6 separate regions of the Mus musculus genome follow, and all the other regions are reported to be linked to region 3. Evidence: microRNA targets listed by miRTarBase, many of them from high-throughput screens and not tested one by one. Region 3 holds a microRNA gene; each other region holds the end of a gene's coding sequence.

Region 1 (5,069 bases), not on the chromosome of region 3:
TTGAATGGGATGGCAGAGAATAAGAAGGAGCGCACTTAGTATGCAATAGATGTCAGCTGTAGCTATGAAGTCCCTAAGCTTTGTGGCCTTGAGCAGACCAATACTCAGTGACATATGTAAAGGTACTCAGTAAGGAGACTATACTCGGCAAATGGTGCTTGTTGTTATAGTGAAGACTCAGACGCAAATCCCTGCTAATTATACTGAGTTCCCTTCTCAAGTTTTAACTTTGACATCTCTGCTTTCTTCTTGGCCCGAGTAAAGAAAGTTCAAAGGAGAAAAAGTTAACAAGTCAGCCAAGATCTTAAGGACAGATATGCCAAACATGCAGCCACTACCCAAGTGTTGTCCAGGGACAGTGGGCTCATAGCCTGCAAGGGCTGGACACTGCTTCCTGAAACCCAAGAGGAACAGCAGCTGGAGATCATGCCAAACATCCATGGCATCCTCACCGAGGGTTACCGGGCTCTGTACCACACTGTGGCAGAGCCCATGCTCTGAGATCCTTCTGGAAGCGCCAAGAGGTACAGCTAGGCAAAGCCATTAAACAAAGGCTCTGGGAAGCTTTCCTCTGGAAGCTGCCACCAGGAGTGCATGGAGGGGTGGGAAGCTGGGAGGGAGTACGGCTGCTGTCACCCGAGAAGTGGCCCAAGCTAGGATAAGAAACAATAGGAACTCATAGGGTTGGACTCTCCTCTGCAGTATGTCTGAAAAATAAGCTGCACTTTTCACCTAATCTCAGAACGTTTTACAAACTAGTGGCTACCCTTCCAGGGAAAAGAGACAAAGTTTCAGTCCTTTTTTTAAAAATGGGGGTAGAGTGGGGGTCAGGAGACAGGCTCTCTACACAGAGCTGGCTGTCCTAGAACTCACCATGTAGACTAAATTGAACTTGAACCCAGGGATCCACCTGCTTTTGCCTCCTAAGCAAAGCCACCATGCCCAACTGGTTTTCTGTGGATGGCACAGGGCAGGGGAAGGGAGGTGTGGGGGGATCGAACCTACAGCCTTGACTGCTGGCAGGTGCCCAGGCTCCAGCACATCTTTTACTTTTTTGAGACAGGGTTTCATTACATTGCACGGGCTAGCTTTGGATGCACTCTGTAGTCCAGAATGGTCTGAAAGATGTGATCTTCCTGCTTCAGGGTCCTGCCACACACTGTTACTCAAGGATATAACCCACAGGTTCCAGCCAATACTCTGATGACTTGGAATCTGTTAATAGGAGCAGAAGGTCACAGGCATCTCTGGATACGATGGAAATCAGAGCACTGGCCCAGGCTCTAGACGTTAGGAGCCACAGCAATGACCACATGTGACACATACTTGATAAAATTGTATTTTTTTTTACAGTCATTTGTACAATTTGTTACAAAATCATAGACGACTACAACTTGCTTTAAATCATTTTTGGTCTGCAAATATGTAAAATCTGTGTGCAATTATCATGTATTTACAGGGCCTTGTTAGTCATTTTCAATGATTATTTCAACAATGTCACACTCTCAACATAAGACATGGCTTAAGATAAATATATTAGTAAATAAATATTCTGAGAACATATTTCCATAAATGAAATGTGCTGCTATACATATACAGAATATACATAAGTTGTTTTCTAGCTTTTAAAAGTTTTTAAAATGGTAATGTGGAAAAAGAGCCCTTAGACCATTTTATCACAAAAAAATCTTTACAAAATATTAAGTGCTATGGGAGAAATAAAAAAAAAATTAAAATAGTGTCATTAGACCAACACGATACAAAAAGTTTATGTAAGGAATAGAAAAATGCAGGTCAGTTTAAAAGATGATACTTTCAAATTCTTTTACAGACCACATTTTAAAAGCATCAGTCCTGTGTGGACTTTGAGAGCAGAAGCACATAGGGAAAGGCCTGAACCACGGGACTAAAGAGGGACACGGATACAGCGGTCTGGGCCTGGGGGAGAGGGGATGGATGGTCAGCTTCTGGAGCTACGACCACAGAGGCACCTCAAGGTACACAATGACTTAACTTCCATTTTCATCTGGTTCTAGATTTTGGGTTGGCATGGCTGTCTTACACCCAGGGCTGGTATCAAGCCCACACTTGCTATTCCACACACAGGCTCCCAGTGGACAGTGGGGTGCTCCTTGTCCATGGCTATACAATCACCACACACTACTGACACTCCCTTTCCACTTCCCCTCCCCAGAAGAGGGCACAGAAGAGAGCACTGTGGCTCTCAGAACTTCATAGACACTATTTCTTCTGATTTAAATGGTGCATAAGATAGGTTTTATTCTGGTCTGATGTGGCAACACAAAGATGATAATTGTCTCTAAATCTTTTGTTTCTACTAGTCCAAAACTACAACAATTACAAGTGCCTGTCACCCACTAGTAGCATTTTTTCAAAGGAGAGTTGAACTTGTTTTTTTAACTCTGCCTAGTGGCATTCAAATTCTCTACTCATCTATGAGTACTGAGAAATGGTTTTCTAGCCAGGCAGGACAAAGGCAAAATCTTTCTGGGGTTTGTTTCAGCCAATGGAGAAATATGCACATACAGACACACACACACAAAAAAAAAAAAAAAAAAAAAAAAAAAAAAGGAAAACCAGAAACAACAAACATCTCAACAATGAGAAGCTGTGCTTTGCAGTTCATGTTAAAAGCTGTGCCTCCACCCCCCCCCTTGCACAGTAAGGAAAGCTGCTGTTCTTAGCAGCTGCTACTCCTGGCCCCAGAAAGAAAGGCAGCCCCGATTACATGTCAACAGTTTAGGCCCTTCTCACACCCTCAGCAACAGGTGCACTGGGCATAGCCTCAAGGGACCGACCTCCAGAGTCCGGCAGAAGAACAAATTTCACTATGGCCACTTCCTAAAGGGCAAATAACTGGGCCATCTGACGTGGGACTTCTTTTGTTAGATTCTGGATAGAAATAAGCAAATGCCCTCATCCTAGGACGAGGTTTTAAAGAACAAAGTATTCTGATCATCTCAAATGTGCAATCTGGACCCTGGGATGACTTCCTGGGAGCCTGACTGGGAAGAAGGGTCATTTCTGTCTCTGGCAACCCAGGTGGTCCCCATTCTGTAACCGAGTTTTCAGACCCACTCGGCCAAACTCTTCCTGATGGAAAAAGACATCTGCTAAATGAATGACTAAAAGTGACCAGAAGAGTTAGCAAACACAGGGCCAAGCCGATTAGTTTCCTCTAAGGAAAAGAAAATACTTTTAAGAACAAGGACTATTTTGAATAAAAAGGATTACAATCCCTGAAGTGATTTTAAATAATTCTCTCTCCCTTTTAAAAATAAACAAAACATCTTAAAAACAATAACAAAAACAACCAAAAGTGGTTTGGGTTTAAAAAACTCTTCCCCTTAAAAAAAAAGAGGCTGGAAAAAATATACAAAAGCCTACCCTTTGGGTCTGAACTATCTGATAGTCTGTCTCGTGGAGAATCAGTACATAATAGTGCATCAGGCAGACAGGCTAGCAGACATCTGCTGGCAAGGTGAACCGCTGCAGCCACCAGGCAGAGGCCTGTTTCTGGGGATGGGGGACTGGTCCAATTGGAGCTTAGTACACTCTTGTGGTTCAAGCATATGTCCCCCAAGAAGGCAACCTAAGGGGGCAACAGCTGAGGGGTGTGGCTGCCCTAGACCCATGGGCACAAGTGTGCCTCAGCATGCCTTTCAAGGAGCGGTGCACTGCTACTGAGAGGAGAGCTTGTTCCTCTAGTCCCACAGGACACCAAGGCCATAAATCAACATTCCTCCTGGGTGTCCACCCTGCACACCCCATTTAAATTACCCCTGCAATTGATGGCATGAAGCCCAAAATGATTTTACAAAAGACTCCAAGGCCACAGGGTGAGAGCGTCTCTTCCCTTGACTGGTGGTCAGAGTGCAGGAGAGACCCTAGTAACAGGGCTGGTCACAGCCACAGCCTCTGCTGGGATAAAGACCTACCAAAGGAACAGAAGAGAATGGGCAGAACTGTCTCCAATAAAGTTGGCCTAGGCAGTAATAGCTTGACACTGCCCCCACTTCCCTCCTGTTCCATTGCTGCCTACAGGTGTGGGCAGGAGAGGTGTGGCTTCCCAGAAGCCCAGAAGTTCAGATTTGCCTCAAAAAAGGGAAAAAGGATGAGGCAGCTTTGTATTGTTCCTTGGAGCTTTTTACTTCAAGTTTCTGGTTCATTTTCAATAAGGCAGGTGTAACCCTGAGCTTTTCAAAGGCCTGAGGTCCCTCCAGGGAGACAACAGTATTGACACATGATGTGGTTCATTTAATGCAGCAGTGATTTTTTTTTTCAACAGAAGTTGGTAGTTAGGGTTCTTTAAAATATATATTTAAATAACTTTTTACATTTACATATAATATTTTAGAAAAAAAGCAGAGAACTCAATCCCACACACCTCAGAAACCCAAGCACACATTACAAAACAGAACAACACATTATTAAAGAGGCAAAGGACTCAAGAGATTTTTGTCTGTTGGTTTGTTAAAGAGGAAGGGATGCCACAGGTGGCTCACATTTTGGGTTGAGGAGGGCTCTCTTTATTACCACTTTTGTGTTTGTCAAAGCTAAAATATATATATGTGTGTGTGTGTGTGTGTGTGTGTGTGTGTGTGTGTGTGTGTGTGTGTGTATAGTAGTTTTGAAGGAAGCCAGACTTTGAAGTCTCCGTACAGTTCACGATTTCTACATAAGAGTTCCTTTTGAGCTCAAGCTCCCGTACCGATGCCTGGGCCAGATCCTGGTCCTGGGAGAAAGAGGGAGAACAGTCATCAAGGGTCTGGAGAGAGCCAGCACAGCAGGCTTTGGGTAGTACGTATCAGGTAAGGTCCTTGAGCATCCCTAGCCCATCCATAGGGCCCTTGGATGTGATAGTTCACAATGGTGATTTGGCTCTGTGTGATAAAGGGGGCAGCAATGGCTCCTTTCCTGAGGAGCTCAAGTCTACACTGAGAACAGCTGTTGGGGCAGAGGGTGAGCAGGTCTCCCTTGATGCCTATACTGAATCTCCTAAGATATCACAGAAGCATAGGTAGAACTGAAGTTAAGTGAATTAGTTC
Region 2 (5,073 bases), not on the chromosome of region 3:
TCTGTATCCCAGCACTTGGGAGGGAGAGGCAGGTGAGTTTAAGACTAGCCTGGTCTATATAGTGAGTTCTAGGCCAGCCAGGGTTACACAGTGAGACTTTGCCTTAAACAAACAACAAAAACAGAAAACTGTGTCTCTCCATGACCACAGACATGAAAAGTGAGGCATATAGGATGGTAGCAGTGATGACCTGTGGGGACAGGAAGCAGGAGCTGGGTGTGGTAGCCCATGCTCATGATCCCAGCACTCTGGAGACTGAGGCAATAGGATTGCTTGCACCATGACTGACTGCGTCCTGGATTTCTTTATTTTATGGATGCTTGCTTCTGACATGGGGTACATGCATTTGTAATGTCTGAGAGACACCGTGGCGGTGTGTGCAGTCACTTTCAAGATGACTTCTTTTCTTCTTTCTTCTACCACAGGTGGCCCTGGGCATTAGCACTCTGCTTATGTACGTCCCCACTCCGCTGGCTGCCACACACCAGTCAGGCTCCTTGGCTCTGCTCAGTGGTGCCCTTTGGCTCATGAATGAACTCCGAAGAGTCCCTAAATAATTCTCAGAGGATCATTTCCTAGGACTGGAACTGCCTTGGAAACTCATCACCAAACACAAGAACTTAGCCTTTTCTAAGACGGTGGTATTGACATGCCACATGGTTTCCAAATTGGTCAAGTCATTCAGAACTGTTCTGAGATGGGCACTGGACCACGAACATTACTAAGGTGTGCTTATACCAGAGGTTTCCTTTAAAACTCTGCTACATAAACAAGGATCTGCCATTTGCTGCTTCATAAGAGGCGGGCTGACTTCTTAGATCTTGGTTTCTATGTCCTGCCCACTAGTCAGGCTTCTGGTGACAGTGACAGATTCAGGAACACGTGCCCCTGTGGAGCTACTCGACCAGTTGGCTGGTGACTGCATGTTAGTTTGTTACCAAGGTCTAAAATTGTCATATTTTCTGGTTTTGATAAGCAGCTAACTAGCTAGGTTTGTGAAGTGAATATTCTTTTATGCATATGTGTGTTTGTGTTAATATATGCCATGTGTGTACGGGTGCCCATGGAGGCCAGGGAAGGTGCTGGGTCCCTGGAGCTGGACTTAAAGGTGATTTTAATATGCCTGATACGGGTGCTAGTAACCAAACACGGGTCCTCTGGAAGAGCAGCAGGCACTTTTAACAGCTAAGCCATCTCTCCAGCCCTGGAGTGTATATTATTAAAATTAAATGTTGACAATTTCAAGTTTTAAAAAATATATGGAGGCTTAACATGTCTGACCTGAGGTTGCACATTTGCAGTTTCTGAACAAGATGATCAGGTTTTTTTTTTTAACTCTAATAATTATTCTGTGAGTCTCGGTGTATCCTAAAGGATACTGTTCTTAGCTAGTCTTAGCAAAAACAAACGCACATGTGTTTCACTCCTCAAGTCCCAGGCCCTGCTGGGCTTGTGTTATTGCACAAAAGAGGTTCCCTCAACCTCAGAACAAGACTCATCCTAGACCTAAGCGATCACAAGGCCTCTGAACAGGACTGGGCTGGGTTGAAGTTCTGCCAGCTTGTTCCCATTCCCTCCGAATCGCTACCGCACCTACCGTGCCTCATTTAACCTGTTGGGCCTGTGTCAGCAGGGTAGAAACTCCGCTAGACAGGAGCCTTCCAAGAAGGGGACCAGGGCAGCTTGCACACCCTCTGCTTCCCAACTCCAAATCCGCACTCTTCAGTTAGAAGCAATCAGCACAGGGCTGGAGGGTCCAGCCAGAGACCACTCGGAACCGGTTTATAGTCACCCCAAGCACATGGCAACTGGAGTCAGCTCAAGTCTCAGATATTTTGCTGCAGGTTTTTGTTTGTTTGTTTGTTTGTACTACAGTTAAGCATGTTCGGAACAGATCCAATATTTAGCTGTTTAACTGCTTTATGGTATATATATATATATATATATATATATACACATACATACACACACACACACACACACACACACACCCTAAATACACCCTAATACAATTATTGATTTATGCCCCAAATGTCTATTTCAGAAAAATCCATTGCACACTTAAAGGATTAAATAATTTCTTTTAATGTTTTCAACAGTCTGTCCACAATTCTGTCAATTGTTTTTAATTTATAAATAAAGGTAATTAAAACATGTATTTTCAGTCAGCTAACCCAGGATTTTTGTTTGGGATTGATTAGGCCATTAACTCTTATGACATCATTTAATTTTTCTAAGAATTTACTTATTATTGTGTGTGCATGTACATGACAGGGGATATGCATTGTACATGCACGTGCATGCAGAGAAAAGGGGACAACTCCTGCGAGTTGGTTCTCTCCTTCTGTCTTTGTGTGGCGATTGCTTTGTACCGCTGAGCTGTCTCACTGGCTCAGGTTTGCGTCTTTAACCTGCACTGAGATCTGGTTTCCTGCGGCAGGGTCAGTGAGACTGCCTGAAGTGAAGTTGGTTGCAAAGACCAGCTCTGATAATCAGGAGTTTAGAATAGCAGTTTACCTGCAGCCCTCCTGGTCTTGGGGTGAATGGGGGGTTCTATGTGGGCATATGCCACACAGAGCCACATAAGACGCTGCACATTTTCTAGAGCTCCACATCTATCAGAATATTAAGAACTATTCCATGAAATTTAAGAATTCCACAAAAATTCGTTTTTCCACCGCCTGGCTGACAAAATTCTTAACGTAAAGCATGTAAAAAGAGCCGCCTCAGCCACCGGAAGCAGGGCGGTCCCAAAGCCTTTGTCCTTAAGGTCATGGGTCACAGTGGAAGGAGCCGTAGCCACTGCAGAGACCGTGCTAAAGGTAGAAATCCTGGAGGAGATGTAGTGTATACTCCAGCTTCAACTAAACGGACAGTGTGGGACAGCGTGGAAGGAGAACTTGAACAGAAACCTGACCGGTTGGAGGGCCCGGGATCCCTGCTGGCAGAGGCGGGCTTGAGTAAAGGGGCAGAGCCGAAATCAGGCTGGACTCACCAGGACCCCCTTCAAACTGTGCGGTAGCTCAGATTGAGAATGTCCTCCAAGGGCCATCTGTTAAAGGCTTGGTCCTCATGGTGGCATCGTTGGGAATGGTGGGACCCTCGTGGCCAAGCTTCCTAGAAGGTCTTCACATCATTGGAGGATGAGTGAGACTCCCAACTCCATCCTTTCTTGCATCCTGGTCATGAGCTAAGCATCCACTCTGCGTCACATGCCTGCTGCAACGTACACTTCACTGCGGGCTCAGAGCAGAGGGACACTTGACTACTGAGTTGACCATCTACAGCTGTGAGCCAGAACAACCCGTTCTCTGTATAAACGATCTCAAGTGTTTGGTTACAGTAAACGGACTAGCAGCCTGGGGGTGGGGGTGGGAGTCAGGGGTCTGGTAGTAATTGTCCTGCTTTAAGGAGAGGCTCAGGAATAGACACATCTTCAAGCTTGTCTGACATGCAGGCATGGTTAAACAGCCTATGACTCAGAACATTTTCAACTCAAGTTTTCATGCCATGGAAGCAATGGCCTGGTTCATATTTGAAAAACTGGAAGCCCTTATAGCATGAGCAATAATTCCATTTTACAATATAAAAAAAGTCTTTTTATTGCTCCGATTTCCAGAAATGAAAATGGTCTGCTGGTGTGTGGTTCTCCTCTGTCCTTCTAATGATAGTATTAACAAACAAAAATAATGAACTACTAGGCCAAGGGGAAATATGAAACCCTTCAAAGACAGCCGATGGGGATATAAAACAAGACAAAGCTGGCTTAAAATAGAACCTTAACAAGCCTCCCACCAAAACAGAAAGCCTGGAATGGACAGGAACCCACGCAGGGTACAACAGCTTTTCCAGTTCGATCACATCCAAGTTAGGAGGAGGGTGAAGGTCAAGGACAGAGCCACCCACCATACAGACCATTACCTAAAAGTATTTGATTTCAATCATTGTTTTGCAATCATGGTTTACAAAAATATTTGTTATTCTGTATTGTTAGTCAAAGGTGCCAAAACTTGGTTCTTAGTCCTCATTTTTGAACATACTAATTTTTATAATGCCAGCAAAATCTTCACGAGTTTGGCAGAAGTCTACCTTCCCCACAGCAAAGACGGAGGGTAAAACATAAACTAAGAGACCGATTTAAGAGACTCTGAAACAGCCAATGCTGTTCCTACTTAATTCCTAGTCCAGCTAAAATGAAGTCACATACAAATCCCAGTCTAGAAACTTCCCAAGAATCGCCACCTATTCCATAATGAGGTAGATATCTCTATTATGCATTTGTACCTTCATTCAGATTGTAATTATTGGAATGTTGTGGGTAAGAAAAAAATTGTGCAAAGTTAAGCTAATGGCTTAAACATAAAACCAAAAGTATTTTAAATACTAAAACAGATGCAGCGAAAACTTGGCTAATGAGATCCCATTTGAAGTCTACCCTCAGGGATGAGTTGAGAGCAATGTCCTCAGCTCCATATAACAGAGTTCTTAACCTATGGAACTCCGGGAAGCCTTACTGTAAGGAAGGGAAGTCTGGACCCCATAATACGAAAGCAATAAACAGGATACAATGCACCAAACAGAAACTCAAAGACTAATTAAAATAAATTAAGAAATATATTTATATTGAGAAATGATAAAGATAGGTATCCTGAGATTTTTTTTTTCCAAACTATAAAAAGAATGTAGGGGTATCAATCCGAAAGGCTGCCGTAATGATTAAATGATATATAGTAAAGAACACAACATTAAGAGGGATACAAATAAGTGCTTGACAGATGGAAGCTTCTAGTAGCATCAGGACAAAGAGGAAGATCAGTAATGAGAGCTTTACAACCAGACCATTACCACCTCCCTCCTCCAGTCTCAATTGGAGCCCATGAACATGGCCACTGTTAACCTGCCCAGGGACTTCTGACTAGATCTCTCAACACACCAAGACAGCTATATAGAAACCAAGATGAAGCTAAATGTTCCCTGAGGAAGCAAATGGCTGGTAAGAGCATTTTATAGCAACATTAAAAAAAAAAAGCAGAGGCTCACTCACAGGACATAAAAATTAGAATGATGGAGAAG
Region 3 (5,073 bases):
TATAATGAGCTCTAGACTAACCTTGGCTACAATATAAGACCCCGTATGAAAAAAATAATAGCAGGGCTGAGAAAATGGCTCAATATTTAAAACAACTGCCCTGCAAGTGTAGGGTCTGGAGTTTGACTCCCCAGAACCCACATAAAGTTTAACACATCAGTACACATCTGTAATCCCAGAGTTCCTCTGCAAAGATAGGCAATAGAGACAGGAGAATCCCAGAGGCTCACAGGCAGCTACTCTGGCAAACAATAAGAAAACCTTAGACAAGGCAGAAAGTGAAGATGGAGAGTGGAGGTTGTCCTCTGACCTCCACACATGTACTGTGTGTATAGGCACCTACACTCACACACATAAACATGCATGCACACAGCAATAGTAGTAAAGACACAAGAAAGAATTGCAAAGCACCTGGGAAGGATGGAGGAAGAGGTTTGCTGTTGCTGTACCCAAGAGCACTCTGAATTCTCTGTGGAGCTTGACAATGGAAGAATCAACCAGGAGTTGGTTGCTCGTATTACACACACACACACCAGCATAGAGCCATTAGGGCAGTCCCTAATCTTATATTAAGAAGAAATGTGGACCCAGACATGTGCAGCCCATGTGAAGACTTCAGAAGACAGGTACCTACAAGCCAAAAAGAGAGGCCTCAAAGATTCCTCCTCATAGTCCTCGGGAGACAGCAGCCCTGCCAACACTTGTGCTGTTACTTTGAGCCTTCAAGATTATGAGTAAATACCTAATGTTTAAGCCGTGTGATCTGTGATGCTCTGTCACAGCATGCTAGTAACATGAAATCGCCACTCATTATTTAAAGGGGTCATAGGTGTTGCTGTGAATCAGTGTGATCTGATTCCCCTTTTCAAGTGTGACTCTGGTTGACCCAGACTACAGTCCATGTAACACCCCGCACCCCCCACCCCCCGGGACAGTGGTTTTAATTTCTCATCTTGAGCATCAGGTCTTCCCTGCAGCCATGGAAAGATGAAGGACAGAGGGACAGGAGACTAATGGTAGAGTAGGGATACAGAAGGTAGGTTGTTCTTCCTCCCATTCCCATGCTCCCAGAAATAAGACACAGACTCAAAATATGTTTACAATACCTTGGCCATACAGCTAGGCTCTTCTCTAACTAGGTCAGAACTTAAAATAACCCACCTATGCTCAACTACATTTTGCCACATAGCTGGTTACCTGTGCTCAGGTACCAGGTATCTGTCTTGTCACATCTTCCCCAGTGTATCTCCCACCTGGCACTATCCCAGAATCCTTTCTACCTCACAGATGTCCTACCTCCTATTTCCTGCCAAGTTATAGGTCATCAAATTTATTACTGACAGTTGCCACATGCATACAGACATAAGATATTTTCTCCCCATAGAGATTAATTAGAAGTCAGGATCAGGATTATATTACTCTCCTAGGGTTCCTCCTTCCTCAAGATTTAGTTTCTATATGTGCACAGTTTAAGCAGGCACAGTCAACTGACTATGAAAGCAGAGACAACAGGAGAGAAGACGAGTCCAGGGCTGGAGACTGGATACCACTGACTTCTGCTTCTACACGTGGAGCAGATATATACAGTATCCTTGAGGCAGAAGGAGACAGACACTCTCATCCAGGGATATAGCTGACAGAGAAGAGACATCCACCCCCATACACACATCTCATCCCATCGTCTCTAACATCTGCATACTTGCACTTCACAGCTCACAAGTCTAACCTTCCCAGGTAACTGGCCCATTTGGGTCTGGTGTACCTTCAATCTCTCTTTTTTTATTTTCTTAAAAGAAACATTTGAGAGCTGAGCATCTAAGATGGCTTTGGATTCACACCCACTGTCTGTGGAACAGCTTGAGGCTGACAAGATTAGCTCGCTGGAACGCTCTGGGATCCGTTCAGCCTAAGCTGCTGCCCACACACCAGCCTTGCTCACAGAAGCTGCTTTCCGCAAGCAGCAGCCCGCTTCACCTCCTCCATCCTGGCTCGTGGAACTGGTCCTTGATGTCCTACCTGGTCTTGAGGACAGTGGCTTCCAGCCTCAACCAGTCCTCATTCCCAGATTCCAGGATGTGACCATGGTGATGTCTCAGCCTCTCCAGAGGAGTCCGAAGGGTGATACTTCTGTCCTTCCTCCTCCCATGTCTAATCACCTGATTTTACAGAACCCAGCATAGCGAGCAGTGCTGCAAGCTTCCTTCCCCTCCCTCGGCTCTCTTCTTCTGTCCCTTCTTTCTGTAATATCCAAGGGGACCAGACAGAGTGGGCCTTGATAACACACATTCCCTTGGCTCCAGAGCAGTAGCTTCTAAAACCTGTAAATAAGACAGCTCTATGCCCCTGTGTAGACATACACCCCAAGGATAGGCTGGCTCCCTGGTACCTGTCCAGAGTTGAGAGTTCAAAAGACAGACCAGTGGATAGAAATGCTATCATGCCCACCCACCCCCACCCCGCCAAGCAAGGCCTGCTGGCTCATGTACCTGGCCAGACATTACATGAGCAACGGGCAGTAATTGTTGTCTAATCTCTTCCCAGAGGTTTCAACTAGTTCCAAACTGTTGTGGCTAATAAAAACAGAGAAGATTTGCAAGAAATTCCAGGTGCATCGGAACACTTTGGGGGATTGTGCAGCCTGCAGGCAGACGAAACTTAACTCAAATAAACATAAGGTAATATGTGTTGGCAAAAGTAACCTGAAGTGGGAGTATACAACTGTACGTTTCAAATTGGCTGCTGCCTGTAAGGATGGAGATTGGTAGTAGCTCAGAATGGATGAAGTGGGCAGAGTAGCCAATGTGCATCCCAGAATAACCGAGGCAAATCAGATCTCATCTCACACAGACCCCATCAGTGGCCCAAGATGGAGCACATGACAGATTCCGCAGTCCCACTTTCTACTTTAAGGATGAGGAGACATCGTGGAGTGGCCTCCAGATTTAGGGGTCTCCTGTGAGCCAGGAATGTGTGGTCATGTTCTCAATGGAGCGAGTAAAAGAAAGTGTCTGTTTTTGTTCATTGAAGTCATTGACTCCAAGCCCTGGAAGCTGCCATGTTACCTCCATCTGCTGCCTAACTCTCAGGGCCACATTTAGATAAAGAGCCGAACTTCTGAACTGCAACAGCCCTGGACTTCAGTCAATTCCCTACTTTCTTACAGAAAAGAAAATATTGAAAAGCTGTATTATGGTGTCTTATATGAATGTGCTAGTTTCCAGGATGGGAGGGGCTGTATATTCACCTATATTCACACACATATACATGTGTGCATGTGATATACATTCATGTACACCCTCCTATAGAAATAAGTGTATGTGTGTGTGTGCATGCATATGTGTATATGTGTATGTATGTGTGTGCATATACACATGGGTGTGCATGTGCATGAGTGCATGTACGTGTATATGCATGTTCTCTATTGATATGTGTGTGTGTGTGTGTGTGTGTGTGTGTGTGTGTGCAGGTGTGTATATACATATATATGTGTGTGTGTGTGTGTGTGTGTACATGTACATGTGAGTATGTGTGTGTATATGTTTGTACATGTGCATGTGTGTGAGTATGTGAATATATGTGTATATGTGTGCATGTGCATGTGTGTGTATGGTGAGTAGGTGTTACTAATTGTGACTCCGATGGCTGTGTCTCCATCTGGCCTAGGTGACAGGTAAGCAACTGCACTGATCTTTCACAGGTAGCAGCAGCCTTATAGGGCAGGAGAAGACTGGCACCTCTGCACTGGCCGTGACCTTACCTGCAAGCCCCCGAGGAACAGGAGCTTTTTTACTCCTCCATCTTCTGGCTTCCCAAGCAGGTGCTGATATCTTGACAGGGAAGGGGAAATGCTCTGTCCTGGCCCTCTTGCCTCACAGAACTAAAAGCTAAACATGGCTTCAACTACCTCAGCGGCTTTCTTCTCCCACAACCACATGCAGTAGAGAGGCCCAGCGCTGCAGAATACATCTGTGATAGGAGAGGAGAGCTTGGATCTGGAATGTTCTAGAAAGTGATGGAATAATTTGAAATCCAAACTGTCTAAAGGCTGAAGAAGAAAGGAAGCCATTGCCACCTGCAGGAAGCAGCCAGGTCCTTTTGACCTCTCAAAGTTCTTGGCTGTGAGGTTCCATCATTCAGCTGATAAAACAGAGGAACAAATGTTACACAGGGAAGTTCACAGGAAAAGGGTCAGTACAGAGTGTGCAGAGCTTCTGGTGGTATAAAAGCCAGTCACTGAAAACTAGGGACATGTCCTCAGTCCTTGAGACCTGAAGTCATCTCTTCTCTTCTAAGCATCCATTATACCCAGGATTCCACAGCCCTAGGCCTTCTGGAAACAAACTTCATTTCCCCAAAAATTGTCTGCTACCCTAATGCCACCGGAACAAGTTTTTTAGCTCTTGGGTTATAGCTCAATGATGAAACACTTGCCCAGCATATACAAGACCCCAGATTCCACCTCCAACAACAACACAAAGCACGCCAGTACATCTCAGCCTGTGCAGAGGCTCAAATTTCGAAGGAAATAGGAAATAGATTCATTCATTCATTTAGTGACTCTTTCTCTTCTGCTGTGTATGAGACGCTGTGTTAGGCAACACCAGAAATAAGGTAAAGATTTAGCAGGTGACCACAAACGAGAAAGTGCAGTGCGTTCTCCACTTTAATCAGAGCAAGCCAGCAAATAAAATGTTCTAGGCAGTTTGTCTTGGCACCAGCCACAGGAATTTACCTGTGACATCCTAATAAAGAGGACACTGAGACATGACATCCACAAGGACTTGATTGGCTCTCCTGGAGCTGATTGTGCACACCAACCCCCAGGAAATAAGGCCAGGAGGTCTGTGGTGAAGCCTGAGTGTCCACGGTCCAACTGGGTCCTGGGTAACGTGGAAGCTGTTGTGAGTCTTGTCCTCAGAGACATGTATATAGAAAGACTCTAGTTCACCTCACTCTACTGAGCTGCATCTTAGGAAGGGCAATTAAATCCTAGCTATCACCCTGCAGCTGACAGGGCACACACACACTGCCAGCTCTCAACTAACTGGTCACACCCAGGGTATTTTCAGGCTA
Region 4 (5,073 bases), not on the chromosome of region 3:
GGCATATGATGGTCGCATGAGCTGTCGTTTCTCAAGTCATCTGCAAAGATACATTCTTTTTAGAATTATTTCCACTGCTTGGGTTTCTAGATTTTTTTATTTTATTTTATTTTGTTTTTTTTTGCCGTCAATAAGAAATTTACCTATTTAAAAAAAAATCCAAATGCTGGCATTGTCCAGAAAATTTTAACAGGTTTATTTATAATTGTTATAAAGTTGAACTGTTGAAATGTGTTCACGGAAACATTTTGCTTGCATTAATGCTTTACATCTTGCACTTATATTAAAAATTCATACACAAATGAACGGGTTTCTAGATCATTAATGGTCTGCGAAGGTTCGAGATTGAGTACCAGGGAGACTTAGAGCTGCAGCCCATCCGGAGCTACGAAATCACCAGTCTGGTCCGTGCACTCTTCCGGCTGTCCTCTGCCATCAACCGTAGAGTAAGTGAGCAGCAGGGACAGCTGGGATGCCCTAGACATAGCTTCCAGAGAGTGCTCCTGCCCTAGGTAGCATCCTGCCCTTCACGGCCCTGCGTGAGAATCACTTGGTCCCAGAGGCATCCTGGAAGGGAGGGTGCTCTGTGTCTCCAACTGCTGAGTCCTTGTTTGTTCTCTAGTTTGCAGGCCAGATGGCAGCTCTGTGCTCCCGGAATGACTTCCTTGGCAGCTTCTGTCGCTACCACCTCACTGAGCCTGCCTTGAGCAACAGACATCTGCTGAGCCCTGTAGGGCGGAGGCAGGTCACCAATCCTGCACGGGGCCCCAGGCTCAGCCTCCGTTTCCTGGGCAGTTACCGGACACTGCTCCTGCTCCTGATGGCCTTCTTTGTGGCTTCTCTGTTCTGCATTGGGCCCCTGTCCTGCTCCTTGCTCCTGGTCCTAGGATACGTCCTCTATGCCATAGCTATGACACTGCTCACTGAACGGGGGAAGCTGCACCAGCTCTGAGCTGCTGGCCATCCTCTCCTGAGCAGACTGTGGCAGGTTGCTTAGAAGCCAGGAATAGAGGGGCAGGTCATCTTCAGTGTTCTTGGGAGTAGTTTCCCTGCAGTGGTGGAGTTATTCAAAAGAACAAAGAGTTGGAAGGGAGAGTGATCCAGGCAGGCCTGACACAGAAGGGTCAGTGTCAGAAGGTTCATAAGCCATTGTGTAAGACAATCAGTGCTGGCCATGGCTCCTCACCTTCAGTCCAAGGGCACACAAGCAGCTCAATATCCACTCCAGGGGAGAAGCAGGGTTCTAAGAGACAGAGCTTGGGGTTGGAGCTTGGTCTGGCCAGCCTCTGTGGACACAAAGCAAAAAAGCATTGGTTTTGCCTGTAAAACTAAGGAATTTAAGGGAGCGTCACATTTGTAACAACACCTGTATGAAAAAAACACCTTCACATCAAAGCTAAGACACCAAAGGGCTCAAGTTCACCCTGCAGGTGAACACCACCATCTCCAAGGTGTTCTTAAACCAGCCCTTTTGTTGTGGGTGTGTAGCTGTTTTTAAAGAAAAAAAAATACCAACCTGTTTTTTTTCAAAGTTATCACTGGGCTTTGTATTTCGATGTAACTTCAGAATACATCATGGGACCCATGACCAAAAGTCAGCTCAAAACATAACTGAACAAGGATCCGAATAAACCATTCTTGCTTCGGAGATTGTCTGGGCTGAATCTTTAGCCTGTTTACCTGCCAAGGGTCCCTGGGCATTTGGGAACTGTGGAGCAAGCTCCTGGACACGGTACCTCCTTACCTCGTGATGGAGTTCTTTCTGACTGAAAGTCCCCTTTCATGCCTAGGGCATGTTGGATTCAACTTCTGCAGAAACAAGACAAGGCAGACTAACCCTGAGGTGGGGGCAGGCCCTGTGGTGCCCTGAGAACTGATTTCCCTGCTTAACACCTCAGAACTGGCTGTCATCCAGAACAAATACCACATTGGCTTCCAGAAACTTCCTTTTTGTTAAACAGTGTCATTTTTATTTTATGTGAGTGAATGTTGCTTGTGTCTGTTCATCATATGTATGCATTTAAGGAGGCCAAGAAGAGGGAGTGGGTGGGTGCTGGAGACCAAACTCCAGGCTTCTGTAGTGCTCTTAATCAACTACTGAGCCATCTCTTCAGCCTCCAGAATCTTAGAGTCATGGGCAGATGGGGCTGACCTATACTAGCCAGCTCCAGGCCAGCATCTTCCCAGGAGTACAACCTCCTTGTGGTGGGAAGGGAAGTTGCCTTTTGAGTGTCCCACTGTTTCCAATTCCCCTGGTCAGAGCTGAATGACTAGCCCTTACCAACAACCCTATCAATATTTATCTTTTGTGTGGGGGATAGAGATAGTTACTCTTGTGTAGCCCAGGCTGGCCTTGAACTCAGAGATACACGTACACTTACCAAGTGTTGGAATCAAAGGCTTGTGCCAACTCTTTACCTAGCCTGTATTTATTTATGAGATGAATATTTTTTTAAATTTTTTTTCTCTTGACAGTTACACACACACACACACACAGGTCATGTCTTACTCCTTCAAGTGCCCCCAGAGTTTAATGTTTTAGACTGACTTATTGGAGTGTGGGGGATGCAGTGCATGCATGCGTGCCATGTATGGACATAGGTCAGAGGTTTGAGGAATGGAACTAGGTTAGGCCTCAAAGCAGGTGTCACCAGTTGTCAGCGTTCAGTTGTCAACTTGATTCACCTGGGAAAGGGACCTTTTCTTGATTGATGTAGCTATCTTCGGGTGGTACCATCCCTAGGCAGGTAGGTCTGGGCTGTATAAGAAAGGTAGCTGAAAGTAAGCTGGGGAGAAAGCCCCAAGCAGTCTCTTGGTTTCTGCTTCAGGCTTCTGCCTTGCCTTGAGTTCCTTCATGGCATCTGTCCATGATAGACTCTAACCTATAAGCTAAAATAAACCCTCTGATGCCCACTTTGCTTTTCTTTTGATCACGGTGTTTATCGCAGCAACAAAAAATAAAATAGGATGCTCAACTAAGCCATCTCCCTGTTTTGGTTTATTTTTAGGATAAGATCTCACTGTGTAGTCTGTAATGAAACTTTGTATCCTAGGCTAGGATTATAGGTATGAGCTTCAAGGATCAGTTTGAAATGATCTTTTTATTATTTGTGTGTGTTTGTTTTGAAGACAGGATTTCACTATGTAGCTCTGCTGACCTGGAACTCTATGTAGATCGGGCTTTTTGCTGTGCAAAGGATGGACCTCTGGGACATGGACATGGTAGACAAGTGTCAAACACTGACCCATTGGGAGGTGACTTTTGCATAGCCTTCTCTTAGAAATTAAGTTTCCAAACCAGGCATTAATCTTAGGATTCAGAAAGGAGGCAGAGGCAGATCTCTGAGTTTGAAGTCAGCCTGGCCTATGTAGCTAAACTATGTCTCAAACAAACAAATCTACCATGTCATAAAAAGTAAGTGGCCTAGTTTTCACGTGGATAAGAGATGAGCCAGCAGTTAAGAAAGAGAGCTTCCTGCTCTTCCAGAAAACCTGAGTTTGGTTTCCAGCAGACACCCAAGGCTGCCTGTAATTCCAGCTCCGGGGCTCAATGCTCACACATGCACACCCACAGAATATACTCATACGGGTACGCATAAATGAAAAAAAAAAAAAAACTAAAGTCTAGAAAGCCAGGACTTTCTTGTTTTTGATCCTGCTGGCTGGGTTCTCTAGGTAAAGGCAAGCACTGGACTTTTGTTTTCTTGAAGACAGGTTCTCACTGTGTAGCTCTGACTGTTCCGGGAACTCACTATGGCAGACTTCGGAACTCTGGAAGATCCACCTGCCTCTGTCTCCCATTTGCTGGAATTAAAGAAGTGGGCTGGCCGGTTCTCTTGTGTTGGTTCAGACAGCTCTATTTATACACAAAGATTCAGTGAGTGTTGGAAGATTTGTGAAACTATTACTATGTATCCAAAAATGTGAGCTATTAAAATGAAAGACTAAGACCCACTTTAAAAGCCAGTGCGACGGGCGGTGGTGGCGCACGCCTTTAATCCCAGCACTGGGGAGGCAGAGGCAGGCGGATTTCTGAGTTCGAGGCCAACCTGGTCTACAAAGTGAGTTCCAGGACAGCCAGGGCTATACAGAGAAACCCTGTCTCGAAAAACAAAAACAAAAAAGCCAGTGCTTTGGCATACATCTATAATCCCGGTTTTACACAATGAATTCCAAGCTAGTTTGCACTACAGAGTGAGACCCTGGTTCAAAAGTACAAGCGGGGCTAGGGTGATGGCTCAGAAGGTATAGTGGTTTCTGCCCAAGCAGGAGAAATTCGGGTCTAAATTCGGGTCCCTAGCACCCACATGAGAAGTGGGGAGGGAAGGCGCACACCCGGGATCTTAAGCGCTGGAAGCCGGGGAAATGGGAAGATCCTGGGGTTCACGGGCCAGCCCAGCTAGTCACAAGACGAGACAGACCTCTTCTCAAAATCTATGAGGTGGGGAATGAGACCGGACGTCGAGTGCTGGTCTCCACAGGCACACGCACCGCACACAGCACTCATAAGAACTACTGTTCCGGACCAGTTCAAGAGTCTGGCGCCTTGGTTTTTGCGGAACGCGGCCGCAGGCCCCGCCCCGCGGCGCGCCCCGCCCTCTCCGGCGCGCCGGTTCCCAAGGCGACCGAGTGCCAGGCTCCAGCAGCCAGTACTGAGCGGCGGCGACGCCTTCATGAGCGGGGCCGGGCTGGCGGCCGGGGCTCGGCCCCTCAGCTCCGCGGCCCCAGGCTCCCGGGGCGCGGCCCGCCTACGCCCGCGCCCTCCCGCCGGCCTGCAGCACGCGGGGACGCAGCCGCCTCCGCTCGGGTTCAGCGAAGCACAGAAGCGGATCCTGGACCTGGAAAAGAGCCTGCAGTTCCTACAGCAGCAGCACTCGGAGACGCTAGTCAAACTCCACGAGGAGATCGAGCACCTGAAGCGGGAGAATAAGGGTGAGCCTCTGGGTGCTGGCCCAGCATTTACAACCTGAAGGTCACGGCCATCAACTCTTAACAGTCTCCGGGTGCGGGGAAGGATGCGGGAGGCTTCTCTTCGGTAGGGCCTGCCGATAGGCTCAGTCCTCCTGTGCCCAC
Region 5 (5,073 bases), not on the chromosome of region 3:
TTGACCATTGTCCCCCCTGCCTCAAGCCACGCCCCTTCCGAGGACTTGCTATCCCAGGCCACCAAACTTCTACAGGCTGCGGAAGGTGAGGGGGATTCCTGGGCCCTTGGGTATCTTGATGGTGGACCCAAACCCTGTATCTGCCTTCTGGAGCTCAGTCTTTTATTCCCCAGACTCGGACGGCAGCGAGTTTCAGGAAGATCCTGTGTTGCAGCTGCTAAGGGCTCAGAGGGCAGAGCTCCGGCAGCAGAAAAGGTGACTCTTCATCACCAGGAGTCACAATACTGGACCCCTGAGTCCTGTGACATCCCTATTTGGTGCCTGTCTCTTCCAAGTCCCTTTCCTGAACCCCTCACCCGCTGTTGCAGGTTCTTATTGTGAGCGCATGCTTCAGCCTCTACCTCTCCCCACTTTTCTCCAGGAAGGTGGATGCCCAGTTATCTCTCCTCTTGGACCACACTAAAGACCCGGGATCTTCGTCTCCTCTAGCCAGGTCACCTTCCAGGTCCTCAAGAATGCGGTTGAGGAGGGAAGGAACCTCCCTTGAGTCCAGACGACTTTGAATTAGAAAAATTCTGGTTTTTCCTGGGCTGAGGAGATAGCTCAGTGGGCAAAGAACTTGCAAGTGTGGAGGCTCGAGTTTGGATCTCCTGAACCTGCATAGAGGTAGCGGACAGGCCAGCTGGCCCATGGAGATGGACGGGGCTCAATCCAGGTAGAAGGCAAAGACGAATCTCTGAAATTCTCTGACTTCCACACACGAGCTGTGGGGCACATACACACTACACCACACACAACACCACACACACACACACACACACACACACACACACACACACACAGAGTAAAAATAAAGTTGTCCCCAATTAACATTTTTCCAGTTTACTGTTCATCTCTAAGAAATGGATTGTTGAGCCGGGCATGGTGGCGCACGCCTTTAATCCCAGCACTCGAGAAGCAGAGGCAGGCGGATTTCTGAGTTCGAGGTCAGCCTGGTCTACAAAGTGAGTTCCAGGACAGCCAGGGCTATACAGAGAAACCCTGTCTCGAAAAACCAAAAAAAAAAAAAAAAAAAGAAATGGATTGTTGTAGAAAGGCTAATTGTGCTAATAAGGAAATGTGTCTCTCTCCCTCTCTCTCTGTGGGTGAGCACATGGCTCTAGATAATGTGGGCATCTGACTACCTGACTCATGGAACTCAGAAGTGGATTTTTATATCTCGGATGGAGACAAAGGCCCTGTTATCTGGTCCTAAGAAACATCAGTGTTGGACAATAGTACATCTCCATCCGTGCTAGCATCTTTCCCTCCCTGGTCGCCATCTCCATCCACGGGCCTAAGAGATGCCTCAATTCCCACAGGTGCTCAAATTCCTGGTGTTTCCCCACGTTTGTTCCCCCTCTTTCACATTCTTCAACTGTGTTCTCTCTACTCAGGACCAACATCTTCTGTCATCCTGACTCTTCTCTTTCCCACACACAGTCACCTGCTAGATGCTGACTCTGTCTATCAGAACCCAACTCCTTCCCACTGCCCTCAGCTCAGTCTAGGCTACCTCCTATCTATACAGCTGAAAGCTTGTCATTACTATAAACACATCTGCTCACTCTTTGATGCACTTGCCACCCAGGGGGACATCCTATTGCTTCTCTTTGAAACTGAGCCTTTCAACAAATTAAATGCAACTGAAGGCCTGCAGCTTCTGTCAGGAAAGTGGGTTCTGTTCTGTTCTTTTTCTTCTACTTTCTGTGACTCGGATGCTTTTCAGAGTCTGCTATAAAATCTGATTACTAGACACAGTGGCACACACCTGTAATCCTAGGAGTCTGAGAACAGAGGATCTCGACTCTGAGGTCACTCTCACAGAGAGTCCCTGTGTCGGGAAAAAAAAAAGTCATTATATTAGGGATGGGACACACAAGCATGCATCTACTGAGCTCAGTGAGATTTGTTTCGTTCTCTGTGGTGGTTTAGTTACTTTTAAATTGCTGTTATAAGACAGTGTGACCAAGGGAATGTAAAAAGGAAGTGTTTATTTGAGGCTTAAGAGTTTCAGAGAGTCAATGACCGTCAGGGCAGGGCACATGGCACTGGAGTGGCACCGAGAGCTCACATCTTGAGACTCAACCAGGAGGCAGAGACAGAGACACTGGGAATGGGAGTCTTGTGAAACCTCAAAGCTAACTGCAGTGACACACCTCCTCCAACAAGGCCAAACAGTGGTCTCCCAACTAGAGACCAAGTATCCAAACGTCTGAGCCTATGAAGGCCATCCTCATCAAAATCCCTGCGGTGGTTTCCCTCAAGGGAAAAAGTGAATTCTAGCTAAGGAGATACATGTGAGCAAGGCATGGTCACACACACCTTTAATCTCTGTGACCTGGTCTATGTAGAGAAATCCAGGCCAGCCAAGGATGCATAGTGAAACTCTGTCTCAGAAAAAAAAATATAGAAATATAGAAATATAGAAATATTAGGTACAGTGCCGGGCATGGTGGTGCATGCCTTTAATCCCAGCACTCGGGAGGCAGAGGCAGGCGGATATCTGAGTTCGAGACCAGCCTGGTCTACAAAGTGAATTCCGGGATAGCCAGGGCTATACAGAGAAACCCTGTCTCGAATCCCCCCCCCCAAAAAAAAGAAATATTAGGTACAAATTTTGACTTTTACAAAAGGAAATGAGAAGCTGGGTGGTAGTGGCACACGCCTTTAATCCCAGCACTTGGGAGGCAGAGACAGGCGGATTTCTGAGTTCAAGGCCAGCCTAGTCTACAGAGTGAGTTCCAGGACAGCCAGGGCTACACAGAGAAACCCTGTCTCGAAAAACCATTAAAAAAAAAAAAGGAAGTGAGGAAAATTCCAGGATAGTATGGATGCAATGGTTTGTCTTTTGAAATAGGATCATTTAAGATCTAGGCTCCAACTCACTATGTAACCTAAGCCTGGCTTTGGACTGAGTCTCCTACCTTCACATCCTCAAGTGCTGGGATTACAGATGTGGGCCACCACACCCACCCAGCCTAATCTGTTTTGAAACATTCCCAAAGATGAGTTGGATGGGTGAGTAAAGCAATAAGTAGATGTAAGACAAAATGAATATAGTAAAATGTTTTAATGATAAGAGCTAGCTGGTGGATGTGTGGGTGTCAACTTTCCCTATCTTAGAACTTTTCATAAATAAAATGATGGCAACTATATATGATGAGGGTTAGGTTGAGGGTTTTTGTGTGTGTGTGTGTGTGTGTTTGGTTTGGTTTTTTAAGACAGGGTTTCTGGGATTCTTTAATCTGAGATCAATGTTGTTTTGATATATGTATGGGATTTATGAAGGGAAATGGGATAGATTTCTGACATGCAATTCTCTATGTCAGAAACAAGATAAATGTGGGTTTTCATCCTTTTGAACAAACCACACACTTGATTGAATCAATAAGGAGGTAGCTGTTTAGACACAAGGAACAATAGAAGATATTCACAATAACATCCTGATCAAGTTAAGAGGGGGCACTAGAAGGCTGCCCGAGGAAGTCACACTTAAGCTGAGATTACCTACTTGACCGAGGCCATCTTAACTGTGGCTGGGTAACAAACCACCCCCAAAACTTAGTAGCATCATCACTCATTACACTTATTCCCTCCCCCCACCCAGCACTTTCCATATTTCGCCATCCCAACTAGCTTTTCTCTCGGATGATACATATTTATATTTATTTTGTTCATTATCTTCCCCCATCAGCCTTTGATTTGGAGGTTTTAAATTTTTTTATTTAATGCATACAGGTATTTTGCCTGTGTATATGTTGGGGGTTCCATGTGTGCCTAGTGCCCACAGAGAGCATCTTCTGGACATCTTGGAGCTGTAGCTGGTGAACAGTCATGTGGGTGCTTGGAACAGGGAGTAGAAATCTGAGGACTCTGGAAGAGTAGTCAGTGCTAACTGCTGAGCCATCTCTCCAGTCCCTAATTTGGTTTGTTTGAGACAGATTTTCACTATGCAGCTCAAGCTGGCCTCAAATTCATGATTCTCCTGCACCCACTTTTCCAGTGCTGAGATTACAAACCGAAATCACCTAGTTCATACTAGCCTTTGAGCTTCCATATGGGTAAGGCTGTATTTTTTTTTTTTTTGATTATTGGTATATCCCCGAATTAAATAATCAAAGTCTTTAAAAGCCTGGACCGGGAGCGTGCTACCGAAACGAGAGGCCTGCTCAGGTCCAGATCAGTGAAAGCATCCTTCCGGAAAGGGTGTGGCTGCAATGCTTTCTAGGCACTTCTCTATCGTTTAAAAAAAGAAAAAAGACTGCACCTGGCTTTCTGAGAGGCATGAATGTCATAGCATTCCATACAGAAGCTTTTCCTAGAAAAAGATGTCAAAGGCTAGCCTCAAATAAGCGAATATAGGGAAACAAGGAAAGATGTCCAGTGAATAGGGGGAGGCCAAGTCGCACAGAGCCTAGGGTGGGGACACAGCGGGGTGTGCGAGATCAAAAAGCTTGTGGGCGGGGTCAGGATCAGGACTGACAGCGTGGGGACTGGAGGACCCGCATTTCGAAAAGGCTGCTTGTGGGGGATAGTCGTAGGCGAACCCAATGAAGCACGTCCGAGGAGCGACCGCGGGAGGAAAGGGCAGGCTGCTTAAGGAGAGAAGTGGCGGCAGCGGAGCATAAAGAATACAGGGTTTTATCTCAGGAGGGCCCTGACAGCCAATGCCAACCATCCATGGGCGTGGCGCTGTCAAACTTCGGGGGGTGGGACTGGAGAGACGGGGCGGGGATGGGGGCGGGAAGTAGAGCAGCACTCAAAGCCAATAAGCAGCCGCCTTGTGGGCGGGGCGTAGCCCTCAGGCCAAAACTGGAGCCAATGAGAAGGGCCTCCGCGTGCCCGCTGGCCCGCCCCTCATGGGGCGCGCGCCAGAGACCCCCCCGGCAGCCGTTAGGGGAGGAGCCTGCGACCGCCCGCGCGCGCCTCACGCCCTCCCCTTTGTGTCACCATGGCGGCGGAGGCGGCGGTGGCGAGGACTGCGAACGAGGGCTCGAAAGCCGCCGGGGTCTGAGGAGGCTACCGCGACCA
Region 6 (5,073 bases), not on the chromosome of region 3:
GTTCAAGGCCAGCCTGGTCTACTTAGTGCGCTCCAAGACAACCAGGGTTATAGTGAAGCCTGTCTCAGAAAACAACAACAACAACAACAAAACCAAAACTCATACCTTAAGAAACTTTGTTGCGCTCCCCGAGCCCTCATTAAATTTTCTGATTTTAGGTCAAAGAACAAAAAGAAGGATGGAGAAGAGCAGAGGCTGATTGAGGATGACTTCCATAACCTACGACTGAGGCAGACCGGCTTCTCCAACTTAGGAGCGGACAACAGCATCTTCCCCAAAGTCAGAACAGGGGTCCCGAGTCAGACCCCTAATCCCTACGCAAACCAGCGAAGCATGCCTCGCCCTGACTACTAGGTGAGTGCGGCCTCTGGCTTGGCAGGATGTAATGCCCAGGTAGAGAGCGGAGGCATGGCTGGAGAGGTGGCTCAGCGGTTAAGAGCACGTGTCACTCTTACCGAGGACCTGAGGGTTGGTTGCCAGCACTCACATGATGATACAGGTGCCAGGCAAGCACACGGCATGCATACATAAATGCAAGCAAAACACTCATACACATAAAAGAAGCAAACAAATCTTTTAAAAAATATTAGCAAACAAGGAGGTCCCAGCTACAGCCTCAGTCACCACTTGGTCCCTAGCTAGGACTAATGGCCGTCTACATGACATCAGCCCTGTCTCTGAATGTCTCGGGGCTTCCATTTCCTCTTTTATTTTTTATTTTTTTAGCTCAGTCTTAGCATCCTTGAGTGCCTCTAACTTACCCACTTTCTGGCTACTGAGGTCACTCAGCTGGGAAAGGTGCTTGCCTTTTGAGTCTGATGAGCTGAGCTCAGTCCCAGGACCCACATGCAGGAGGGAGAGAACAGGCTCCCACAAACTGTTCTCGGGCTTCCACGTGCACAGTGTGGCATGTGTATTCTCCCTCCCAGGTATATAAATGTAATAGATAGACAAATAATTATCCACTTCTAACCAGGACCAATCGTGAGAGCTACTCAAGATACAAGAAGGTAGCAAGTTCAGGGCCCTCCTGAGCTACAGAAGGAATTCACAGCCAGCCGGGAGGACTCAGTGAAATGCTGTCTCAAAAGGAAAGAAAATGATTTGATGGTGGGGGGAGATAATAGATGAGGAGAACAATTAAGAACAAAATACACTTTACATTACTAAAATAGTAATTAAGGGAGGTATATTATGAATAAAGAGAGGCGCAGTAACACTGTGAGGCCCTACAGTTTATAATACCAAAAATAAAACAAAAATAAAATTAAACTAAATATCCACTTTCGTGACTCTGACCTACATGCTTGGGATGGCAGCACCAGTGTGTAAATAAAGAACTGGGGTCTAAGTCAGGTGTGGAAATGACAGTGAGGGCAGCGTGGAGCTGTGGGAACCTGTATGTCAAATGCACAAAAGCACAAACACAGCTCTCCTCTTCCCCGACATCTCAAGGCAACAGTTTATTTCTAAATTTATGCCAGGGCTGGAGAGATGGCTCAGCAGTTAAAAGTACCAGCTGCTCTTCCAGAGGACTGGGTTTGATCCCCAGCATCCACATGGCAGCTCACAACCATCTATAAATCCAGCCTCATGGGATCCACTGCCCTTTTCTGACCTTCACAGGCAACAGGCACACACATAGTACACAGACATATATGCAGGCAAAACACCCATACACATATAATAAATTTATATATATATACACACACACATATATGTATGTATATATATATATAGTACACATTTGTATATATACACACATATACATTATATGTGTATATGTGTCTACCCATTATATGTGTGTGTAGATAGATAGATAGATAGATAGATAGATAGATAGATAGATAGATAGATGATAGTGCCTTAGACCAGTCCTACAAAGCAGTCTATTTCAATCTTTCAAAAGAGAAAAGCAAGTTTGACTGGAAACATTTTGTTTCCCAGGGGAGGATTTGGGGCCGGTGAGAAGTGTCTCTAAGGGACAACTGACAAAGGGCTGAGGTACAGAAAAGGAAGAGGAGAAAGGAGCCAGGGACGAGGTGGGAAGGGAAGAGAAAACAGAGACAATTTGTTCAAAAGAAAAAAAAATGTAAAGGGAACTGAAAAGATGGCTCAGTCAGTGAAGATCCTGTTGAGCAAGCAAGGGGACCTGAGTTCAGATCTCAGCACTCCATAAACGCTTGGCCTTCACACATATATTGCATACAAGCACGTACACATACACATACATGAACACATACACACATACACCACATACACACACACCAATGAAAGAATCAAATATAAAAGAGGAAGAAAGGGGTCTTGAGATATAGCTTTAGAAATTTGAATATTGGGCTGGTGAGATGGCTCAGTGGGTAAGAGCACCCGACTGCTCTTCCGAAGGTCTGAAGTTCAAATCCCAGCAACCACATGGTGGCTCACAACCATCTGTAACAAGATCTGACGCCCTCTTCTGGAGTGTCTGAAGATAGCTACAGTGTACTTACATATAATAAATAAATAAATCTTAAAAAAAAAGAAATTTGAATATTGAAAAGAACAAAAAACAAAACAAGAGAACAGGCTGGACATAATGGCATATGCCTTTAATACTAGCACTCAGGAAACAGAGACAGGTAGATCTCTATGTAAGCTTCGGGCTAGTCTGGGCTACATGTGACTTCCAGGCTAGCCCGACTGAAGCTACATATTGAGAAGCTGGCACATAAAAACAAAGCAAAACACAAAAGATTGGAAATACCAACAGAAGCAAAACCCAGGCAGCATCTGGGGAGGCTGAAGCAAGAGGACCACACATCTGAAGCCTGGTGTCTTAGTTCCTCTGTGGTAAGACACCATGACCAAGACTACTACCTGTAGAAGAAAGAGTTTAGTGAGACTTACATTGTCGGGGGTAAGTGCATGGCCATCATGGTGGGGAGAATGGCAGCAGTCAGGCAAGCTGGACACTGGAGCAGTAGCTGAGAGCTCACATCCTTATCTGAAAGTTGGAGGCAGAGGGAGTTAACTGGGAATGGTGTGGGCTTTTGAAACCCCAAAGCCGCCTCCAGTGACATGCCTCCTCCATCAGAGCCACACCCCCAATCCTTCCCAAACAGTCCCACCAAAGAGGACCAATTATTCAATCATGTAAATCTATGGGAGCCATCTTCATTCAAAACACAGCATCAGGTTAGGCTATAAAGATCCTGTCTCAAACCAGACAGACAGACAGACACCCCAAAGACACAAGGGAGCATAGGGAAAAAGCTGAAGACAAAAGATATATTAAAATAATTGACAAATATCAGTTTTCTCCTGTTGCTGTCTAGAAATCTTTTCTAAGCCTTGCCTCTCTCTCTCCTCCTGTATAGAATGATAAGAATTTGGAACCCTCCCTAGCCCAGCCCACCCAAGCTACGGTCTTAAGGACAAGGAGAAATGGGCAGAGACAAAGTTTGACCTCCAGCATTCCTCTGCGTGGTTTGCCAACCCCTCTGGGTGTGGACCTGTGTGAAGACCGAAGCTTGCCGAAGACACACCTATCAAATTAAATGCGCATAGACCCTATGAGCCTTTGTAAGAGTTGATTTTCTCCAGTTAGTACAGAATGCTATGGCAATTGGTGTGGGGCTTTTCTTTCCTGGTGGGTCAACTCTTAGCGTTTCCAATCTTAGAGGGAGCACCCTCATAACTCATCCCTGAGCAGTGCCACTCCTGAGCTCTGGACTCTGGCCACTCTTGAACAGCTAGCTGCTTGTGATAGGGCCTCACCCCAAGAGGACAGGCAAGAGATGGAAGCATGTCCCAGCTTTCTCAGGAGGACTTTGGGGACCCAGGCAAATGACAATAAGAAGGCTTGGACTGGCTCTGTCCTCTGTGGGGACATTCAAGTCTTTGAGATGTTAGTTGGTAGGAAAGCAGGGAGGAGAAACAGGAGCATAGGAGGTAGAGAGAGGCCAAGGAAGCTATGCCGGAAGGCTGAGGGAGGGAGAAGGTAGCAGGTGGCGTCTTCTCCCTTGATGATGTCCCTCCTCAGGCAGCAAATGGGTACTCTCCGGTGCTGCCATCCCCAAGACATAGATCCTGGGAAAGCCACAAAAGCAGCAGTCAGTGTGAAGCCCCTGTGACAGCACAGGCCTTCTATCTGGAACTCTGACAGAGGAGCCTGGTGTCCACTCAATGATGCTTCACTGAACCTCTGCTCCATGATGGAGGCTTAGCAGTGGCCACACACACACACACACACACACACACACACACACACACACACGATAAATATAAATACATCCATCATCTGTCTTTTTAAATGTTAATTGTGCCCTCGTGTCTGTCTGACGTCTGGTCCTCTCGAAAGGTATTTTTGTTATTATTTGTTCTTAATTGTTCATTGTGGAAGGCAATGCTTTAATAAAATATATTTGGTGGATAGTGTCCTTTCTTGTGTTGGGAGGCTCGCAGTAGTGAGTCTCACATATCCCAGGCTGGCTTCGAACATTTTACACAGCAGGAGATGACCTGAAATTTCTGTTCTTCCTACCTCTGCCTCACCAGAGCTGTCTCTGCATCGCTAGTGTGGGGTTTACAGGTGTGTGCCACCATGCCTGGTGTATGTGGTTGGTAGGGATGATACTGGGTATATCAGGGCTTCATGCATGCCAGGCAAGCACCCTCGAAAACAAGCCAGTCCTAGTTCCTAGCACAAGTCTCATTTCATGTTTAAAGATTTTTTCTTTTAATTTTAAAGTAGGTGTAGATGTTTTATTTTTTTTTTTATTTTATATGTGCAGATGTAGTTGGCTTTGAGGGTCAGAGGCATCAGACCCCCGAGAGCTGGAGTCAAGGCAGATGTGAGCTGCCTGATTCTGATTCGGATGCTGAGAGCTCAGGTGCTCAGTACATATTGCCTACTGCCGAACTGCAGGAGCAGTAAGTACTCTTCACTGCTGAGCCATCTCCCTGGCTCCCCCTTGAGTCTCATTTTAAACAGAAAATGTGACTTGACACCCTGGAGTGACCTGCCCGACATTTGCTACCTTCACCAGGGATTTTCCATCACCCAAGACAACATTTTAACATGTCGTAGAC

The links. The annotated mature microRNA mmu-miR-466i-5p reads UGUGUGUGUGUGUGUGUGUG and lies in region 3 at 3,486-3,505, shown strand. An mRNA with a match to its seed (bases 2 to 7 or 8) in the 3' UTR can be bound and repressed. Matches are read on the target gene's strand: a 7mer-m8 pairs with bases 2 to 8, a 7mer-A1 pairs with bases 2 to 7 and ends in A, and an 8mer does both.
Region 1: the mRNA of Znrf3 is a reported target of mmu-miR-466i-5p. Seed matches in the 3' UTR shown: 7mer-A1 at 4,636-4,642, 8mer at 4,634-4,641, 8mer at 4,632-4,639, 8mer at 4,630-4,637, 8mer at 4,628-4,635, 8mer at 4,626-4,633 and 17 more.
Region 2: the mRNA of Cox15 is a reported target of mmu-miR-466i-5p. Seed matches in the 3' UTR shown: 7mer-A1 at 1,964-1,970, 8mer at 1,965-1,972, 8mer at 1,967-1,974, 8mer at 1,969-1,976, 8mer at 1,971-1,978, 8mer at 1,973-1,980 and 6 more.
Region 4: miRTarBase lists Smpd4 as a target of mmu-miR-466i-5p. Seed matches in the 3' UTR shown: 7mer-A1 at 2,478-2,484, 8mer at 2,479-2,486, 8mer at 2,481-2,488, 8mer at 2,483-2,490, 8mer at 2,485-2,492, 8mer at 2,487-2,494 and 1 more.
Region 5: the mRNA of Proser3 is a reported target of mmu-miR-466i-5p. Seed matches in the 3' UTR shown: 7mer-m8 at 755-761, 8mer at 789-796, 8mer at 801-808, 8mer at 803-810, 8mer at 805-812, 8mer at 807-814 and 14 more.
Region 6: miRTarBase lists Muc13 as a target of mmu-miR-466i-5p. Seed matches in the 3' UTR shown: 8mer at 4,216-4,223, 8mer at 4,218-4,225, 8mer at 4,220-4,227, 8mer at 4,222-4,229, 8mer at 4,224-4,231, 8mer at 4,226-4,233 and 13 more.

The regions. Positions count from the first base shown.
Region 1 is chr11:5,275,006-5,280,074 of GRCm38, forward strand. Znrf3 (zinc and ring finger 3) reads right to left here. Exons shown (of 9, transcript NM_001080924.2): 9 at 1,324-4,756. The coding sequence ends at 4,719. It also overlaps the pseudogene Gm30172. Among named protein-coding and RNA genes, the nearest start is that of Kremen1, 16 kb to the left of the region's middle.
Region 2 is chr19:43,732,205-43,737,277 of GRCm38, reverse strand. Cox15 (cytochrome c oxidase assembly protein 15) reads left to right here. Exons shown (of 9, transcript NM_144874.4): 9 at 426-4,024. The coding sequence ends at 557. Entpd7 (ectonucleoside triphosphate diphosphohydrolase 7) reads right to left here. Exons shown (of 13, transcript NM_053103.5): 13 at 3,425-5,073. Among named protein-coding and RNA genes, the nearest start is that of Cox15, 18 kb to the left of the region's middle.
Region 3 is chr3:85,463,897-85,468,969 of GRCm38, forward strand. Mir466k (microRNA 466k) reads left to right here and starts at 3,481; the gene lies at 3,481-3,602. The region is part of intron 1 of Gm31419 (a long non-coding RNA gene); the gene reads right to left.
Region 4 is chr16:17,641,852-17,646,924 of GRCm38, forward strand. It overlaps Smpd4 (sphingomyelin phosphodiesterase 4), which reads left to right. Exons shown (of 19, transcript NM_001164610.1): 18 at 318-446; 19 at 623-2,979. The coding sequence ends at 952. Ccdc74a (coiled-coil domain containing 74A) reads left to right here and starts at 4,619. Exons shown (of 8, transcript NM_001166164.1): 1 at 4,619-4,932. The coding sequence starts at 4,674.
Region 5 is chr7:30,534,931-30,540,003 of GRCm38, reverse strand. Proser3 (proline and serine rich 3) reads left to right here. Exons shown (of 12, transcript NM_001382459.1): 10 at 1-85; 11 at 174-255; 12 at 422-870. The coding sequence ends at 563. It overlaps Arhgap33 (Rho GTPase activating protein 33), which reads left to right and starts at 4,944. Exons shown (of 22, transcript NM_178252.3): 1 at 4,944-5,073.
Region 6 is chr16:33,815,516-33,820,588 of GRCm38, forward strand. Muc13 (mucin 13, epithelial transmembrane) reads left to right here. Exons shown (of 12, transcript NM_001382834.1): 11 at 159-354; 12 at 3,360-4,414. The coding sequence ends at 354. Among named protein-coding and RNA genes, the nearest start is that of Itgb5, 12 kb to the right of the region's middle.